2 linked regions of the Arabidopsis thaliana genome follow. The protein of the gene in region 2 interacts with the protein of the main gene of each other region in a pairwise test. Each region holds a gene or a part of one and is shown on either strand. Other genes may lie near its edges.

The links.
Region 1: the proteins of AT2G02160 (region 2) and AGL49 interact in a two-hybrid assay, tested with the Arabidopsis thaliana proteins (one large-scale study listed by BioGRID).

What each region holds. Positions count from the first base shown.
Region 1 is NC_003070.9:22,115,558-22,123,307, forward strand, and holds AGL49 (AGAMOUS-like 49), read right to left. Parts: upstream 4,373-7,750; coding exon 3,518-4,372; 3' UTR 3,417-3,517; downstream 1-3,416. Other genes in the region: NAT7 (nucleobase-ascorbate transporter 7), read right to left, coding at 43-102, 181-256, 344-444, 519-695, 781-878, 965-1,091; UMAMIT35 (Nodulin MtN21 /EamA-like transporter family protein), read right to left, coding at 5,993-6,161, 6,500-6,651, 6,748-6,906, 7,073-7,334, 7,435-7,551. UniProt on the Arabidopsis thaliana protein: Probable transcription factor that may function in the maintenance of the proper function of the central cell in pollen tube attraction.
Region 2 is NC_003071.7:550,915-560,362, reverse strand, and holds AT2G02160 (CCCH-type zinc finger family protein), read left to right. Parts: upstream 1-4,231; 5' UTR 4,232-4,463; coding exon 4,464-4,604; intron 4,605-4,990; coding exon 4,991-5,101; intron 5,102-5,198; coding exon 5,199-6,956; 3' UTR 6,957-7,277; downstream 7,278-9,448. Other genes in the region: AT2G02170 (Remorin family protein), read left to right, coding at 1,753-1,782, 1,965-2,109, 2,223-2,765, 2,848-3,301, 3,384-3,465, 3,562-3,768; EMB2794 (Tetratricopeptide repeat (TPR)-like superfamily protein), read left to right, coding at 7,738-9,448.

The sequences.
Region 1 (7,750 bases), on a different chromosome or scaffold from region 2:
CTCTTTCGAAATCACGAGAAGAGCTTTTCGCAGAGCGTTAACCTGTGAGAATAAGAGTAGAAGGATGATCTCAGGCAGTCCAATCTCGATGCATTTGGCTAGCTGCCAGAAACAGAACAACTCTGTATTCAAGAAAATGTTATAAAACTGAAAGAGAGATCAAGTAAAGCAATAACACACCAGAGGGAAACCGTGCTCATAAAGTCCAAAACCAGCTAGTGCTACTAGAGGAACTGCAGAGAGAGGACTCAGGAGCCTAAAGAAAGTAAGAACAATCATCAGAAAATAGCAGAAGAGAATCTGTTAGTTGTGTTTTGTATATGATTGAGTGTTCTTAGCTAACCTAACTACATTGCGCCAAAGCCCGCTGAAGCCAACAACGATCTGAAGAATCGAGGCAACGATAAGAGCACCCTGGATTCCTCGCATGATCCTCTTAAATTTCTGCATATTTTCACTCTATGAATGAGAAAATATGATACAGAAACAGATAGATGCTCTGTTTTTCTTTAACTAACCTCCTGAGGATCCAAAATGTCGCTGTACCGACCAGCCAAGATGATGGAAAGCGTGGTTGGTACATAGGTGTAAGAGCCTCCAATGACCGCTGGAAGTCTAGTCCCAAAGAAACTTTGCAATAAAGTATTAAGTCCAGAAACAAAAAGTAATGTCTGAACCATCTTTGCCTTCTCTTCCTACAACAAATGAATACAAATCCGATAAAAAAACAGAGTTTCTATATATGTTCATGGAAATGACTTGTCTAAGAAGATAACTTACATTTCCACCACCCATCTGTGGAACTAAATATGTTGGGATGAGAACAGTTGTTCCAAGCATCACTAAGTAATGCTGAAACCCCAAAAGTATTGCCTCCGCTGATCAGAAAAAAAAGAAGTGATCTTTAGTTGTTAAATCAAAGATTACACATTGCACAAATGAAAGTATGAGAGAAGATGGTTACGCCAAGGAGGAGGACTTGTGATGCAATAAGAGATAGAAGAAAGTTGATCTTTCACCGGATGTGGCTCAAGCCCATCATGTTTTAGCGGCGGCGCTACCCCTCCTCCTCCTCCACCACCACCGGCCATTTCCTTTAACTTCTGATGAAACCCAAAAGCAATTCAAGAGAAGAAAAAACAGAGATAGGTTGAGTCTTTATGCTGGAATCTTGAAGAACGAGTTAAGTTTGTAGGAGCTTGGAAGATAAAATCCAAACCTAGACACCGAAAGTGAAAAAGGGTTTAAGAAATGAGAGTGAGAAAGTGAAAGAAGACGAAGATGAAGCTAGAAAAAGAGAAAGACATTTGTCGGGGAATTTAAGTAAGAAACCGTCAATATAAAGCAAGAACGTCAAAAAGTTGATTTTGCGCGTTTTCGTTTAAAGACCTTTGAGAAGAAAGAACCACTTGGAGGACACGAAACCTATAAGAAAAATAAAAGCTTCAATGTGAAGAGGAAGAGGAAAAGAGCTATTTTTATAAATTACTTTTAAATTCTAGTGAATATAATATAGAACAGCATAAATTGTGAAACAAAGAAATAGGTAAATAAATTTACAAATACAAACAAAAGTATTAAATTTTAGTTTTAATATAGAGTTTGTATATTTATAGCAACATCACCTAACTTAAGGACCACATTTAAAGTATATTATAAATCGTATTTGATATCAATAAAACAAGAGATTTTGGAAACACGCATAAATAGTATGTATACTGATTCAGACAGAATGAAACACAAAAATGAATATCTTCTTTGCTCAACTCTCTTCCATTAATCACAAATATCAAGATAGAAATTCACATTTAATCGCTAAAATCACGTTAAATACAGAAGCTTGACAAAGTTTTTAGGAGAAATAATGCAAGAACACTTTGAAAGACAAAAGTTAAGAAAGTCTGGACGTTACAAATAAAATGTAATAGAGGGAACTAGAGATCGATAACTCGACGGTAAAGAAACTTGAAAATATTTCAAGAGTTGACAGAATCGAGTGATAGTTGTTGGTACGGATAAAATATTCAAAAAATATTATGTGTTTAGAAATTGTATGACCGTCAATTTAGAACCTAGTTAATCAAAAAATTGTAATTGAGGAAAAATGAAATAAATTCAACAGTCGCTTCTTTCACCTTTATATACTTTAGCATAACGTAAAGTCGAAGCAATCCGTAGACATGCATACTTCTCTTCTACCTTTAATGACTCCATCCCCACACTTTACTCTATTAATACTATATACTTTTCTAAATTGGAACCATATTGAATGGGGTTATAATCAGTTTTGGGATGTTTTTATTTAGCGTAAAACTCTACCTTACTACACCACAAGTTACAACCACTTTGACTTTTGAAACTTTACAAGTAACAGTATTATTAAGGGAGGACTTTTCACTTGAAAAATTTGACAAATCATTGCTCTGTGAACATCAGTACTTAAAACTTTTTAGTTTTTGTGTTTTGGCTGAAAAATAGACCAACGGAGTTCCAGAAGAGACGGCAAGTTCTTCAACTAGCTGACGTTAGTCGTCGGTTCGACAGTACTAGCAGTCGCTAATTGATAGTATACTGTATATAGTTTCACAACTAACTGTTATTTTTTGGGGACTTACTGTTAGTTTTGTCTTTAGATAATTTAGAAAAAAAAAAAAAAACTGTTAGCTTTGTCATTGGCAGCTGCTAGTCACTCACCATTAGCTAATATTTTTGCAAGAACGTCTGCCAACTTTTCATTGGTAACTACTAGTCGTCACGTTCTAACAGTTACTTTAGGGAGAACATGTGCCAATTTTTATCTCAAATTTTTTAAAACTTGTGGTAGTGGCCAAATCAGTGGCAATCAAATAAATAGCATATAGAGTAATAATTATATTGCATCGCAAGCCTTGTAGAATTGAAGTTTTGGGGATTTGATTCATGGATATGCTTATGAATTTGATCGTGAACAAAGCTTATATGTAGTTTCATGGGTACTTTATTTTGTGTTTACGTCACAAGTTGATCAGTTGAGTTACTCCACTGAAGTTCGTTCTAATTATGAGAATGCTGATTAGGAATGTTGACTTGGTAAACACGAGGTCGAGGGACAGAAAGACTTGCTGAAGCAAACACTAGATTGACATAAAGAACGTGTCATCCGTCATTAAAAACAAGGCATCTCCAAGACTTGACAGTGAATTAACATCTGAACAAGTATGTATAACTTTCATTCCCTGCTCTAGAAGCTTTAACGAGTTGTGCAATTTAGGTTATGAACTCTTTGTTTCTTGCATGGTTTACAACGTTTTGTTTATCTGATAAGTTGGTGTTGCAGTCAAAATAGGGTTACAGAGAAAGAATAACAGAAAGAAAGGAAAAGTTTGATTAATCAATAATAAACAAGAAAAAAAACTACCAACTTTACAAACATGGATTTGTGTTGGAGCAAACATACAAGTTAAGAGATACTAAAAAATGATCAATCACCGAGAAAAGGTGAAAGAAACATGATTTCACTAACGTAGTCATCAAGTTATCAAATTGAAATCATATCGGAGCTCATCGTTTGGCAAGTATTGGTGGTCATGAGAGGATCGCTAAATGTATGAAGTGGTGGTAGTCTTGAGGCAAACTCCAGATCCCAAACATGATCATCACAAAAATTCCCTAGATTGTAAGTTTGGTAAAGTTCTGCCGCCGCCTCCTGAAGATAATTACCGCCGAAAGTGCCAAGATGATCCATTCCCGTGTAAGCTGCATCTTTTGATTCGTAATTGGAAACATTCTCGTTCAAATTCCTTGACCCGCGGACCACGTAAGCCAACTCGTCAAATACATCACACGAACCCAGCTTCTTATCTGAAACCCTAATTAGATGATCTTCTGACAATATATCCGTCAAATTAGGCTCTATCTTCAACTTGTGATCGGAGATGGCCGAGTTCTCTGAAACCCTTGCACCATCTTTTTCGGAAGAACCCGTGAGCGTCTTCTTAAGAATTTCTATCTTTTGTTCCCTGACTCCAAGTAATTGAGAGTCAAGGTGAAGGAGATGCTTCCTTAACTCCTCACGAGACAAACCCTTGAGATGATGAGGGAAGTCATTGAGATCACATGCATGATTCTTCCTCCTCTCATCACTCAAGGCATTGAACTTGGCCACGATCTCATGTAGGGCTTGTGGGTTATGATCTTGAGACTGAGGCCAAACATGGAGATCGTTGTCGGGACCGTAACAGATGAAACCGACAGAGTTGCCGCAGAGAACAGAGAGCTCTGAGGCTTTCTTCTTAAAGCCTGGAAATCTCTGTTTGAAAAAGCTCTGTTTCTTCCTATGCAAATCACCATCATCATCATCGGACTTGTTAGGTTTCTTCTGACGAGGAGCCATCTTTTGAAAGAGAGAGAGAAGATGAAACTTTGATTAAATCGTGAGAGAGAGATAAAAAGCAGAGAACTTTCGATCGTAATGGGAAGTGCAACGAGAAGGCTATGATGATTCTTTAATATATAGAGACTTAGAAGATTAGGTTTCCTCAATCCCACAACGGTCATAATTTGGTGAAAATGCGTAAAAAATCATATCTAATATGCGCGTCCGAAATCTTGTGAGGTCTTTTCATTAGATCTCGTAGTGATATTTTCCTTTTTTTGCTTCATCCTATTTTATTTAGTTTTTATGAAACGCGTAACTGTATTTTTCCTCAATTAATTGCCAACAAATATTTTATAAATCGACGCAGTCTTCTTAAGTGGTTTTGTCAATTTTATTATTTGGCTTAAGTCAATTATTTTTATTTACCTACATATTTGCTTTAAAAAGTAATAACATTTACACATGGTCTCAATAATTGGATTTGCCCAAAAAAAAAAGGTCTCAATAATTGGACAACACAAAGCAGAACATAAACACAACTGGTCATATACGTTAAACCTTAATTAACTCACAACTCATGTAATTGGTAAAAACCTGAGAGACGATTGATTTTCCCAATTTTTCAATAAGAACACTGCTTTCAGAGATAAGATCCCACAAACCGTCCAACATACTCTTCAAACCCTAGGAATTCTAGAATCGAAATTAAGTTGGATTGATAGAGAAATAGGGTAATTCGAGTCCAACGCCTTCGAAATCAAGAATTCCTCTTACCTAATTTCTCCTTCAATACAACTTATAATTTGGCAACTAATTGAGTGCATAATTACCCTCCAAATGCTTAGAGATAATTTTGTTAGTTATTCTAAGTTAATGACTAAACAAATGTGTCTTTTTAAGAAAAGTTCGTAGAAAAGCTTTTTGGTTAGTCTGTTTCGGGTTTGAATTCATGTCTTCAACCAAACTCTCCACAACTGGTTTGTGTCTGATTCAGCATTCACCTCGGTTTTGGATTTTATTCATTTTTTTTGCAGATGCGGTGGGTGCTGCAAAAAGATGTAGCTAATTGGATGTTAAACAATTTTGACTGTTTTAGTAGCTATATATCAAAAACATTAACCACAATTTGTTTTCATGGTCATTTATGGTTTTTTTTCTATTTGAACTGTTTTTATTGTAGTTTGATTATATCGAATGAGTTTTGGTTGGGTTCAGTGTTTGTGAAAATTCTCTTGGAACTGATATAAATTACTAAATTAGATCAACCGGATCATTCCCGTTTATAGTGAGACGAATGCCAAAGATGGACCTTCAAGTAGTTTCATATAAGTAACAACTATTTACTATTTAGTCCTCATTTGAGGTTGCATATATGATTGCATCGTGAGTTTTATTTGGATAAAAAGTAAAACTTATATTTTTTTCGTTTTATTTTAACTCATAATTTACTTTTAATTTTGATAGACTTTGATACATTCCTCTCATACAAAAAAACGTTACAAGACTTTATATATATATTTGTTTTGCTTCACACACATATGTTTTTTTTTATATATAATTTCTTCGATTTACTTACCCTTAATTTATGTTTAACATAACACAACTAAACACATTAGGCGAACAACCATTTCTGAATTAAACTTGATCAAAATCACCATTCGCGAGCAAAAGTGGAGTTGTCTGTTCATCTGAATCCAATTGATGATTATCGTTTTTCTCCACCGTTTCATTTGGATCATCTTTTTGAACTTGACTCCACATTATCAATAGATATCCAGTTCCTGCTATAGCAGCTCCTAACACACTGTTCACAAGAAGTTCACATTTAACAACCTGAACATATCATATTCAAATCGAAAATTGATATGTAAACTAAAAAAAAAAAAATTGGTTTGAACTTTTTTACTTATTTTAAAATATGAAAAAATCAAAAAGGAAACTAAGGGACAACTTAAATTTTTTATATAACACATTAAGATATGTATATAATAAAATTTGAACAGGAATAAAAGTCATATCAAACATATATGCATATTTGATTTGGTATTAAGCATTTGGGTTAAAAATAAATGAACGCATGTAACTAGAGAATAATTTGAGTCTCTTCGTTGTTTAAATATAACTTTCGAAAATTATATTTACCTTCCATAGTGAAGACTATTGACAAAGAAGCTTGTGCCAAAAATGGAAGCCCAAAGGATCCCAAATGGCTTGAAGAGTGGCACATAATAAGGCCCCTTCATTTTGGAGCACTTCACTTGAACACTTGTTCTGATTATGCTCCCAAATATTCCCTATAAATGAACAATATATATGATTATATATACACATCCTCAGATTACGAAATACATACTATATAGTAATTATAATATATGATCACATAGATATACCGTGGCAATAATGAGATATAGGTCCATGTTAAGTTTGAGTTCCCATGCACTTAGGTCTGGCTCCATGAACGCTGAGAAGATTGCACATTGGAGTGTCCCAGCTAAACTATAGGCAGACACTACTTTCATCACTTGAGGATATTTTTGGACTGTATCCAACTGATATACCGAATAACATAACCCGACCAACAAAAACAAAAAAAATAATTAATAATTAAAACGTGTATGCATTACTTAAGAATCAAGTTAAGACGTGTGTAGATTCATCTACAAATGATAATATTTGTTTTCGAAAATCGATATCTTGAAACGTAATTTTGATTACCTGTATAATATTCCAAATGGAGATGGAGAGCGTGGCGCATGCAAGGAGGAGAGAGCCGAGAGCCCAATTGTCAGAATTTTTGAAGAAAGTTAAGTAGTGTGAGATTGTAGTAAGGAAATTGGAGGTTGGGGATGAAGGAGGAGAAGGTCTTATAAAAGGTCCTAAGTAAATAACTTCAACAAAGGCTCCTGTGAAACATATCAACGTGCCTATCACTCTTCCTTTTGTTCTCTTACTTGCCCATCCTAACCCTCCTTCCTTACTAATTTATATTCAAAATTTATTGAAATCATTGTTAGTTATAGTTCAATTATAAACATAGCTAAAGAAATTTAAATTTTAATAGAAGTAATTTAGTTTACCCAAGAGCAAGAGATAGCAAGAAGGAGAAAGCAGGTGACTGCAAGCCCATGGCACATACCACAATTGGAGAGCTATAACTTAGCCCCAAAAATGCCATGTTCTGGAACAAAAACACCCTGTTCAAGAAAAATATTAATTTAAGAATCTAAACTCTAATATAACTATTTAATTATGAAATCAGGTGTTCCAATTTTTTTTATTTAATTACTATTTTTTTTAATTATTACAGCTATTACAGTCCCAATATATTTAGTTATTGAATGAAATTGGGAGATAAATAGGAATGCAAAATATATCATTGAATCTTATGTAAAT
Region 2 (9,448 bases):
TGCTTGTTAGGATTCTACGCAAAAAAAATTGTTGAAAAAATGTCCATCAAAAGCATGAAAAAAGAAAAGGTGGTGGCGGCTGTCGTAGATCTAATAACGGTTGGAAGGAATTGTTCGTAGTATAATCGACTATATAACAGTTTATATAATTTGTAATAAATAATAAATCGACGATAAAAAAAATATAATTAATTCGAGATTAAGAATTTTTGGAGGTTTGGGTTTTGCTAGTAATCCCAAAAAATTATATCTACGAAACGTAGAAATTTTCCAAAAATTCTAAACATCAGCTATATTCGCACTCGATTTAAGTACAATCCGTGATTCTCACTTTGGAGCTGCAGGCTTGAATCTTTGAAAAATGAGAATTGTTAGAAGATAATACTAATTATGTAGGAATTAATCTTCATGATGAATCACCGACTAGGCATTCGTGTGTTGCTGTGTTGGATTGGGGAGTACAATAGCTGTCATAATACTATATGATCATCTTCTTGGTCAAATGGAACCATTTTTGTCTTTGACCGTCAAATAGGCATGGCCTTACTTATGGGCCTTCAAAGACAGCATGAGCATCCTATGGAGGCCAGGCCACCACTTTTTTTTCTTCGTAATGATAATATACTTTTTTTTGTGTGCCTAATTGTAAAATACTTCTATAGTCCTAATTAGAGGTGTCGAAATGATATGTTAGCTCATGAGATGAGTCAACTCAGCTTGGTTTTTTATCAGTATGAATGAAATTCATTTAATAGATGAGTTATATAATCAAGTATAATTTAGAGTACAAATTATATGAACGAGTTTTAACGAACATGAGTTAATTTATGAATTAGACATTTTAAAAAATTAAAAGAATATATATACATATATAACATATATAACTAAATACACTAATATATATTTTTTTGTTGCCAAATTGTAATATACTTCTATAGTTCTAATCAAGAAATAATGTTTAGTGAAAAATATATATAACCTAAAATCTAGTAAGTTTCTCAAAAAAAATTGCATTTTTGATATCGAATTTTTATCACTTTAGGTATCAACAAAAAAAATTAATTTGTTGTAAAATAATTTAAGTACAAATTAAGAAGTGCAAAAGCAAAACAGAATTAAATTAAGTAATTAACTAAAATAAGATGTGTTTTTTTGGGGGTCAAAAGTTAAGATTTTAATATTTTGAATTAATACTTTTTTGGGGGGTCAAGAATTACAACAAACTCTAGTCTATATAGAGAACTGACCAAATAATATAACTATAGTATTATTTGGGTAAAATTTCGATTCAAATAGCAAGTCCTGCGTTATAATCAACAACGAATTTGGATGTGAAGAATTATGTAAGATTTATGAACTATAGATCAAGATTATTGAATGTCCCTTAACTTCTTCTTTTTTTGGCAGATGGTACAACAGTTGCTTAACTTAAAGGCTCCATCACTGTGAATGTCCCTTATTTTGATGTCAGCTTAAGACCAAAAAAAAAAAAAACCAAAAAAAAGAAAAGAAAAGAGAGAAGCTTTGAGAAAGAAAGAAAGAAAGACACAGTGTGTATCAATCTCTGTACTTTCACAAGCTTCCAAGCTCTCTTATCATTCACTGTACTCTTCCTTTCAAATAATGCTTCTGAGTTCTGATAACACCAACAATCTACTACTACTATTATATTTTCTTACACATTTTGCATCACTCTTTTTCAGGATTTTTGGTTCTCGAGAAAAAAGTGAAGATTTTTGAGATTCTCTTTCGATGGATTACGAACGAATCGGAAAGACCCAGGTGAGAAAATGCTTCGGTTTCACGTTTACCGAAACTGGGTTTTGCGTAAAATTAGGGATATCAAAAGCCAGATTTGTCAATTTTCTGATTTCTTACTTCAAAGTACAAACTTTCCTTTTGCAAATCACTTCATCATCATCTCTGTTTTTGATTTGATAAACTCTGTTTCCTCCGATGAATAGGTTACTAGTAGCGGCGGCGGATTTTCTCCGGGGAAGTTAAGGAGTATGCTTCTTCTAGGTGTTGATAGAAAGAAGAATGAAGAAGAAGAATCAACTCCTACAATGAGATCTGGGTCTAATCAAATTGATGACCCTAGGGTTTATGGTGGAGCCCCTTAATCATTTCTTAATACTCTTTTTAATAACGCCTTTTGTCTCTATTTGAATCTAAAGTTTGCATCTTTTTTTCTTTGCTTTTGTTGTTTTCAAATGTTGTAGTTGCTAGTGGATTAGATGATTGCAAAGATGTTGATGTTGTGAGTGAGATTACTGATTGTTCTACTTCAGGGATAGCTAGATCGATTAGTTTGGGTCTTCAAGAGTATTCTGATTATGATAATGTGAATGAGATCAAGAGTGTTTCTGCATCATCTGTCTTTGAGTTTCAAAAGACTGAGAAGGAAAAAGTTAATCAAAGAATGCCTATTAGATCATTCTCTAAACCAGCTCCATCTAAATGGGATGATGCTCAGAAATGGATTGCTAGTCCTACGGCTAACCGACCGAAGACTGGACAGGTTCAGGTTCCGGGTTCGAAGAAAGGGCCTAGCTTTGGTCGTCAGTCTTCTATGAAGATTGTTGAAGTTGCTGAACATAGAGTGGTTGAAGAGCCTGATACAAAGAGAATAGATGTAAGCCAAGTGAAAAAGGATATGGGAAACAAGTTTGGTAGCTGGGAAGTTGATTCGTACACTACCGTGGATTCATATGTCAAACCGGTTCTTATGGTTGAGAACTCTATTGTAGAATCAGCAACTGAAGGTGGTGTTAGCTAGCTCTTTGAGTTATTCAGTTTGTATGCTCTATTTATCTTCTAAAGCCAATTTTACTTGCTTTCTTGCAGTTAATCTCAGCCGTCATGACTCGTCAGTCGCAACTGCGTTTGCTCAACCGCCTTCAACGGCAAGGTCTGTGTCAATGAGAGACATGGGAACTGAAATGACTCCTATAGCGAGCCAAGAACCTTCTAGAAACGGGACACCGATTAGGGCAACAACGCCAATACGAAGTCCTATATCTTCTGAACCTTCAAGTCCAGGCAGACAAGCATCAGCTTCTCCTATGAGTAACAAGGAACTGTCAGAGAAAGAGCTTCAAATGAAAACTAGGAGAGAGATAATGGTGTTGGGTACTCAACTTGGTAAATTTAACATTGCTGCTTGGGCTAGCAAGGAGGATGAAGATAAAGACGCATCCACATCATTAAAGACCAAAGCTTCTCTACAAACTTCTAAAAGTGTTTCTGAAGCTCGTGCTACAGCGTGGGAGGAAGCGGAAAAAGCTAAGCACATGGCTAGGTAGTCCAAAGTTGAATTGTTTGTCATAGTCCTCTAGTTATTCTCGAAACTTTAAGCTTATGATGAGTTCTGTAATCTCCAGGTTCAGACGCGAAGAGATGAAGATTCAAGCATGGGAGAATCATCAGAAGGCGAAATCTGAAGCCGAGATGAAGAAAACCGAGGTAAACTACACTAACATAGCTACGTAAGTTCAAGTCATGATTGTGAACAAACTTGGAAAAACATGAATGATGATGGTGGAGTTCTTGATATTGTAGGTTAAAGTTGAGAGGATTAAGGGACGAGCACAAGACCGGTTGATGAAGAAACTCGCTACAATCGAGCGCAAAGCAGAGGAAAAGCGAGCAGCGGCTGAAGCAAAGAAGGATCATCAGGCAGCTAAAACAGAGAAACAAGCTGAACAAATCCGAAGAACAGGCAAAGTACCTTCATTGTTGTTCTCTTGCTTTAGCTTTTGTTCTTAAATCCAATCCTATTGTGAATGTGATGTTGTTAATTCTCAAGAACACATCTTTCTATCATCATTTGTATAATAAAAGCTTTGAAAAACTTATTTCTTGTGATCTTTTAGTTGCTTTGTACATCTTCAAATTTTGGTTTTGAGAGATCTTCGAATTACTCGGTTCAAGATGTCCTTACCAAAGTGAAAACCAAAGTTTTGATTTTGGTTTGGATTTAATTTTGGTTAGATTTCCTTACCAATGTTTGATTGTAAAAGATCTACCAATCGGTTTACAATTTTGGTTCAAGTTCGGTTTAAATCACCTTATCATTGTCTATTTCACAACATTCCAAAGTCGCTGGTTCCATCAGAAGTTATAATATCAAGGCAAACAATATGGCTAACAAATAAACCAATAATAAATCCCCACGTGTCAGTATTTGATTGATTACAAATAAACCGAACTTGATCTATTGATATTTCCCATCACATAAGAAAAAAAAAGAGCCAAAAAAAAAAACTTTTAGGCTTAGCTTTAAAGGGCACACACACACAGTCGCGAGTTTCTCTCTGGTGCGCTCTTTGTGGCGGCTCGTCTTCTTCTTCTTCTTCCACGGGACTCTCTCTGAATCGGTGATTTTCGATCTTCCTAGGGTTTCGATCTGAAACCTTGCGATCTACTTGAAAGAGAGATTCAGAAATTTCCAAGTAATAATAATGTTTGCGCCTGCGACTCAACCGCAACAGCAACATGAGCAGAAGAAGCAATCAGAGACTGTTTCATCTGCTGAAGAAGATGCTTTGAAGTGGAACACCGATTGCGTTTACTTTCTCGCTTCTCCTTTAACCTGCAAGAAGGTAATTGATTTTTGATTATTGTTTCGCTTAGATCTTATCCAGTTTCTGCTTCAATTAGGGTTTTGGATTTGAGATCTCAAGTTTCTTTCACCCGATTTCAAGTTTCTCTGTGTTTTTGTGTCCCTCGAAGCTATCTATACATACTTCACTTCTCCATCTGCTTAATTTTGGTGCGAGATTTAGATCTGGTGATTTCGAACCTCGTGATTCTAAGTATTGTTGTTTCTTAGGGCTTCTTGTTAGCTAGATTGAAAATTACATATACAAAGCTTTATAAGGATGTTCTGATAAAGGAGATTTTCATGTTCTGTGAATATGATTTTTGCTCGATGTGTATGTTTATGCTGAAGAACGATTCTTATGGTTTCTTCCTTTTTTGCTTACAGGGACCTGAATGCGAGTATCGCCACAGTGAGTATGCGCGTATGAACCCGAGGGATTGCTATTATTGGTTGAATGGAAACTGTTTGAATCCCAAATGTGGATTTCGGCATCCTGTGAGTTTACTTTCTTCCTCAATAGATAGTCTCTGCTTGAGCTTCTTGAGTTGTATTATCAAAGTGTGCTTATGTTTGTGGTTTTGTTTTCTTACAGCCTTTGGAGGGATTGTTGGGAAATCAAGGAGGTGCTCCTGCTGTTTCTGTACAGCCAATACATGCAACCGCGCAGCATCCTAGTGTTGCAAAACAGCCTGTTCCATGTCTGTTCTTTCAAAAAGGCATGTGTATGAAAGGAGATATGTGTTCGTTCTTGCACACGCCGAATCCTGCTGCGTATAAAAAACAGCATCCTGTAGAAGCTAAGCCTGCTACTGATCCTCAGTGTTCTAAAAAGCCAATTGAAAATAACACTGAGGAGAAGAAACTTCCTGATGTTAATCTCTCAAAGGTGGTTAAAGGACATACTGACATATCGGCTGCACCAAGAGTCGCTTCTACTGGACTAAGGGATAGTAGAAGTGTAGAGGGATACATTCCAAACCATGTGGGATATGAGCCTGTTGTGCAGAGAAAGGGTCCAGGATTCCCTTCTTTTACTGAAGGAGGCCATTCTACTCAGTTGCTTCAGAAATATGGATCTGATGATAATAACAGTTTCCACAATGGTAAGGATGCAGATGACGTTTTAAGAGAGTCGTCTCCTGGGTTTGATGTTCTTGTGGATAATGAGGCTGGAGATTCTGAGTATTATCATGTTGAAGATCGATATGGACGTAGAAGTCAGGAGAGAGGGAACTCAGAGTATGACCCTGATTTCAGTGCAATTGCTGATGGTGATAAAGAAGCATTACGTGAACAACGTTTTGATTCATATGATCGGAGGGAAGACAGGGGATGGGGCCATCGTCGAGTTTCTTCTGAGAGAGAGGATCGTTTGGACAGAAGGGTTTACGCAGAAGATGAGAGATCAGAGAACATACTGGAATCGGATCTGAGATATCGTTTGGCTAAGCAGAGAAAAGGCAATGGTATGAGATTATCAGTAGGAGGCCATGACTATGCTGCTCCTGACTCTTCGATGGACAGAGGATATAGAGAGTCTCGTAGGGATACACCGAGGGAAAACTCCATTAGCAGTAGTCGTCTTCAGGGTAGAATTAAGCTTCGTGAGAGAAGCAATGGCGAAGAGGGTCACCACTTTGACAGGAGAAGTGAGAGGGGAAGGGACAGAAGCGAGTTACCTTCTCAGGGTAGACTCCGAGATAGAATTAAGGGTAGGTTAGAGGAAAACCATAGTGGTAATCAGGAAAGAGGTTTCGGGGCTCCATGGGCGAGAAGAAGAGAAATGGAAGACGAAAGAAAATCAGCTCCTAAAAGCAGCAGAGAGGAAAGTAAGCCAGAGCCATCTCTTGGGAAGAGGAAAAGCTTTGAAGAGGATCATCATAGTCATAAGCGATCAAGGGATTCATTTGCAGCTCCATTGCCTTTCAGTGAGATTCTCAAGAGAAAAAAAGCGGCCGCATCTGGTGGTAGCAGAAACAACAACAAGGACGAGACGATATCGAAAGAGGAAGCTGGAGATGAGATCAAACTCATAACCGAAGAGAAAACCGAGGTTGTCTCTGAACCCAAAGCTGAAGTAGAAGAAGAAGGAACGGTTATGGAGGAAGAAGAAATTGTTGGGGAGGAAGTGTATGAAGGAAATGAAGACGAGCAAGCTTATGAAGGCGATGAGCTAAACGGAGAGTACTATTACGAAGAAGGATATGAAGAAGAGGGAGGAGAATACGCTTACGAAGAAGGTGAAGAAGTAGTTTACGCGGCTGAGGAAGGAGAAGAAGAAGCAACAGAAGGAGGTGAAGGTGAGGGTGAAGAAGACATTGAGAAGAAGACCGTTGAGATGTTGTCATAAAAGAAGAAAGAGTAACACAGAAAAAAGCTTTTGCTCCTTTCCTCTCTCTCTCTCTCTCTGCTTAATGCAAATGGAGAGAAGAAGTCGTAGAGCAAATAATACGAGTCGCTTTTATCTTTGGCTTGGCACTGAGTTTTAGTCGCCATTTTTTCTTACTGTGATTTCTTAAATTGTAACACTAGAGAAGAAAGAAAAGAAACAATGGTACAAGTACACCATATCATATTTCTGAGTTTTACTGTTTTCTAATCTGTTTTGATATATTACTTTTTCCTCAAATTAAAAAGTATTTACAGTAAATAACTTATTTTAGCTTTTAACACCTTTTATCATTATTGTTTTTGCACTTGCATACCATGAATGATGTAATACCACTTTAGCATTATTGTTTTTGCCCTTTCCATAACATGAGTAATTATGTAACTGATTTCCACCAATCAACTTTAAAGTATTTACGAATTTAGTCGACCAATCTAATTAACCCTGAGTTAAAAAATGTTATGAGAAAAAGAAGACTGGGCCCAGAATTATAACTTTTGGGCCTATGTAGCCCGTTTCCAAAGGCCCATAAATCATTATTTTACAAACAAGAACAACAACAGGTAAAGAAATAGACTTGGTGGAAAAAAGCAACAAAACCCAGAGTTCTTCATAAACCCTACTTTCTTCTTCTTCTTCTCCTTCCTTCCTCTTCAGTAGAATAGTTGAATACCATAGAATACAATGTCTCTGAGTTAAACCATGAGGCTCATTCTATTCACTTTTAACTTTTTTCCTGAAAATGTTCTGTTCTCTTCGCAATTTTCTTCACGTTAATCGCAGATTCCCTCGCCATGTAAGCCCTTCTTCTTCTTCCCTCTCTCAAATCCAATCACCTCTCTGTTTCCCTCTCTCTTCTCCTTCTCCTTCTCAATCTTCCTTTATCTCTTGCCCTTTCGTTTGGTTCACTAGTTTTCTCTGTATCATTCGATACCCTTTCGTTACCAAAAGCGGTACTTCTACTTATTCCGAAGATTTTGATAGAGATTGGATCCGTAAAGTTGTTCACAATGATCTATGGGATGATCCTGGACTCGAAAAGCTTTTTGATTTGACATTAGCTCCGATTTGGGTTCCAAGGGTTCTCGTTGAATTGAAAGAAGACCCTAAATTAGCTTTCAAATTCTTCAAATGGTCGATGACTCGTAATGGGTTTAAGCACTCTGTAGAATCTTACTGTATAGTAGCTCACATTCTGTTTTGTGCTAGAATGTATTATGATGCTAATAGTGTCCTTAAAGAGATGGTTTTGTCAAAGGCGGACTGCGATGTTTTCGATGTTCTGTGGTCTACAAGGAATGTGTGTGTACCTGGTTTTGGAGTGTTTGATGCTTTGTTTAGTGTTTTGATTGATCTAGGAATGCTTGAGGAAGCTATTCAGTGTTTCTCTAAGATGAAGAGATTTAGAGTTTTCCCAAAAACTCGGTCTTGCAACGGTTTATTGCATAGGTTTGCGAAATTAGGGAAGACTGATGATGTGAAGAGGTTTTTCAAAGACATGATTGGTGCTGGTGCGAGACCGACTGTGTTTACTTACAATATAATGATAGATTGTATGTGTAAAGAAGGAGATGTTGAAGCTGCTAGAGGCTTGTTTGAAGAAATGAAGTTTAGAGGGTTGGTTCCTGACACTGTTACATATAATTCTATGATTGATGGTTTTGGGAAGGTTGGTCGATTAGATGATACGGTTTGCTTTTTCGAGGAAATGAAGGATATGTGCTGCGAGCCTGATGTTATAACATATAATGCATTGATCAATTGTTTCTGTAAATTCGGGAAATTGCCTATAGGTTTGGAGTTTTATAGAGAGATGAAGGGAAATGGGTTGAAACCGAATGTTGTGAGTTATAGCACTTTGGTTGATGCGTTTTGTAAAGAGGGTATGATGCAACAAGCCATCAAGTTTTATGTTGACATGAGAAGAGTTGGTCTTGTGCCTAATGAGTATACATATACTTCCCTCATTGATGCCAATTGTAAAATTGGTAATCTCTCTGATGCTTTTAGGTTAGGGAATGAGATGTTGCAAGTGGGTGTAGAATGGAATGTGGTCACTTACACTGCGCTTATTGATGGCCTTTGTGATGCGGAGAGAATGAAAGAAGCTGAAGAACTTTTTGGAAAAATGGATACAGCTGGGGTGATTCCAAATCTTGCAAGTTACAATGCTCTGATTCATGGATTTGTAAAAGCGAAAAATATGGACAGAGCATTAGAGCTTTTAAACGAATTGAAGGGGAGAGGTATTAAACCGGATTTGCTGCTCTATGGAACGTTCATTTGGGGTTTGTGCAGTTTAGAAAAGATAGAGGCTGCTAAGGTAGTGATGAATGAAATGAAGGAATGTGGGATCAAAGCGAATTCGCTGATTTACACAACGTTAATGGATGCGTACTTTAAGTCGGGAAACCCAACTGAGGGATTGCACCTACTGGACGAGATGAAAGAAC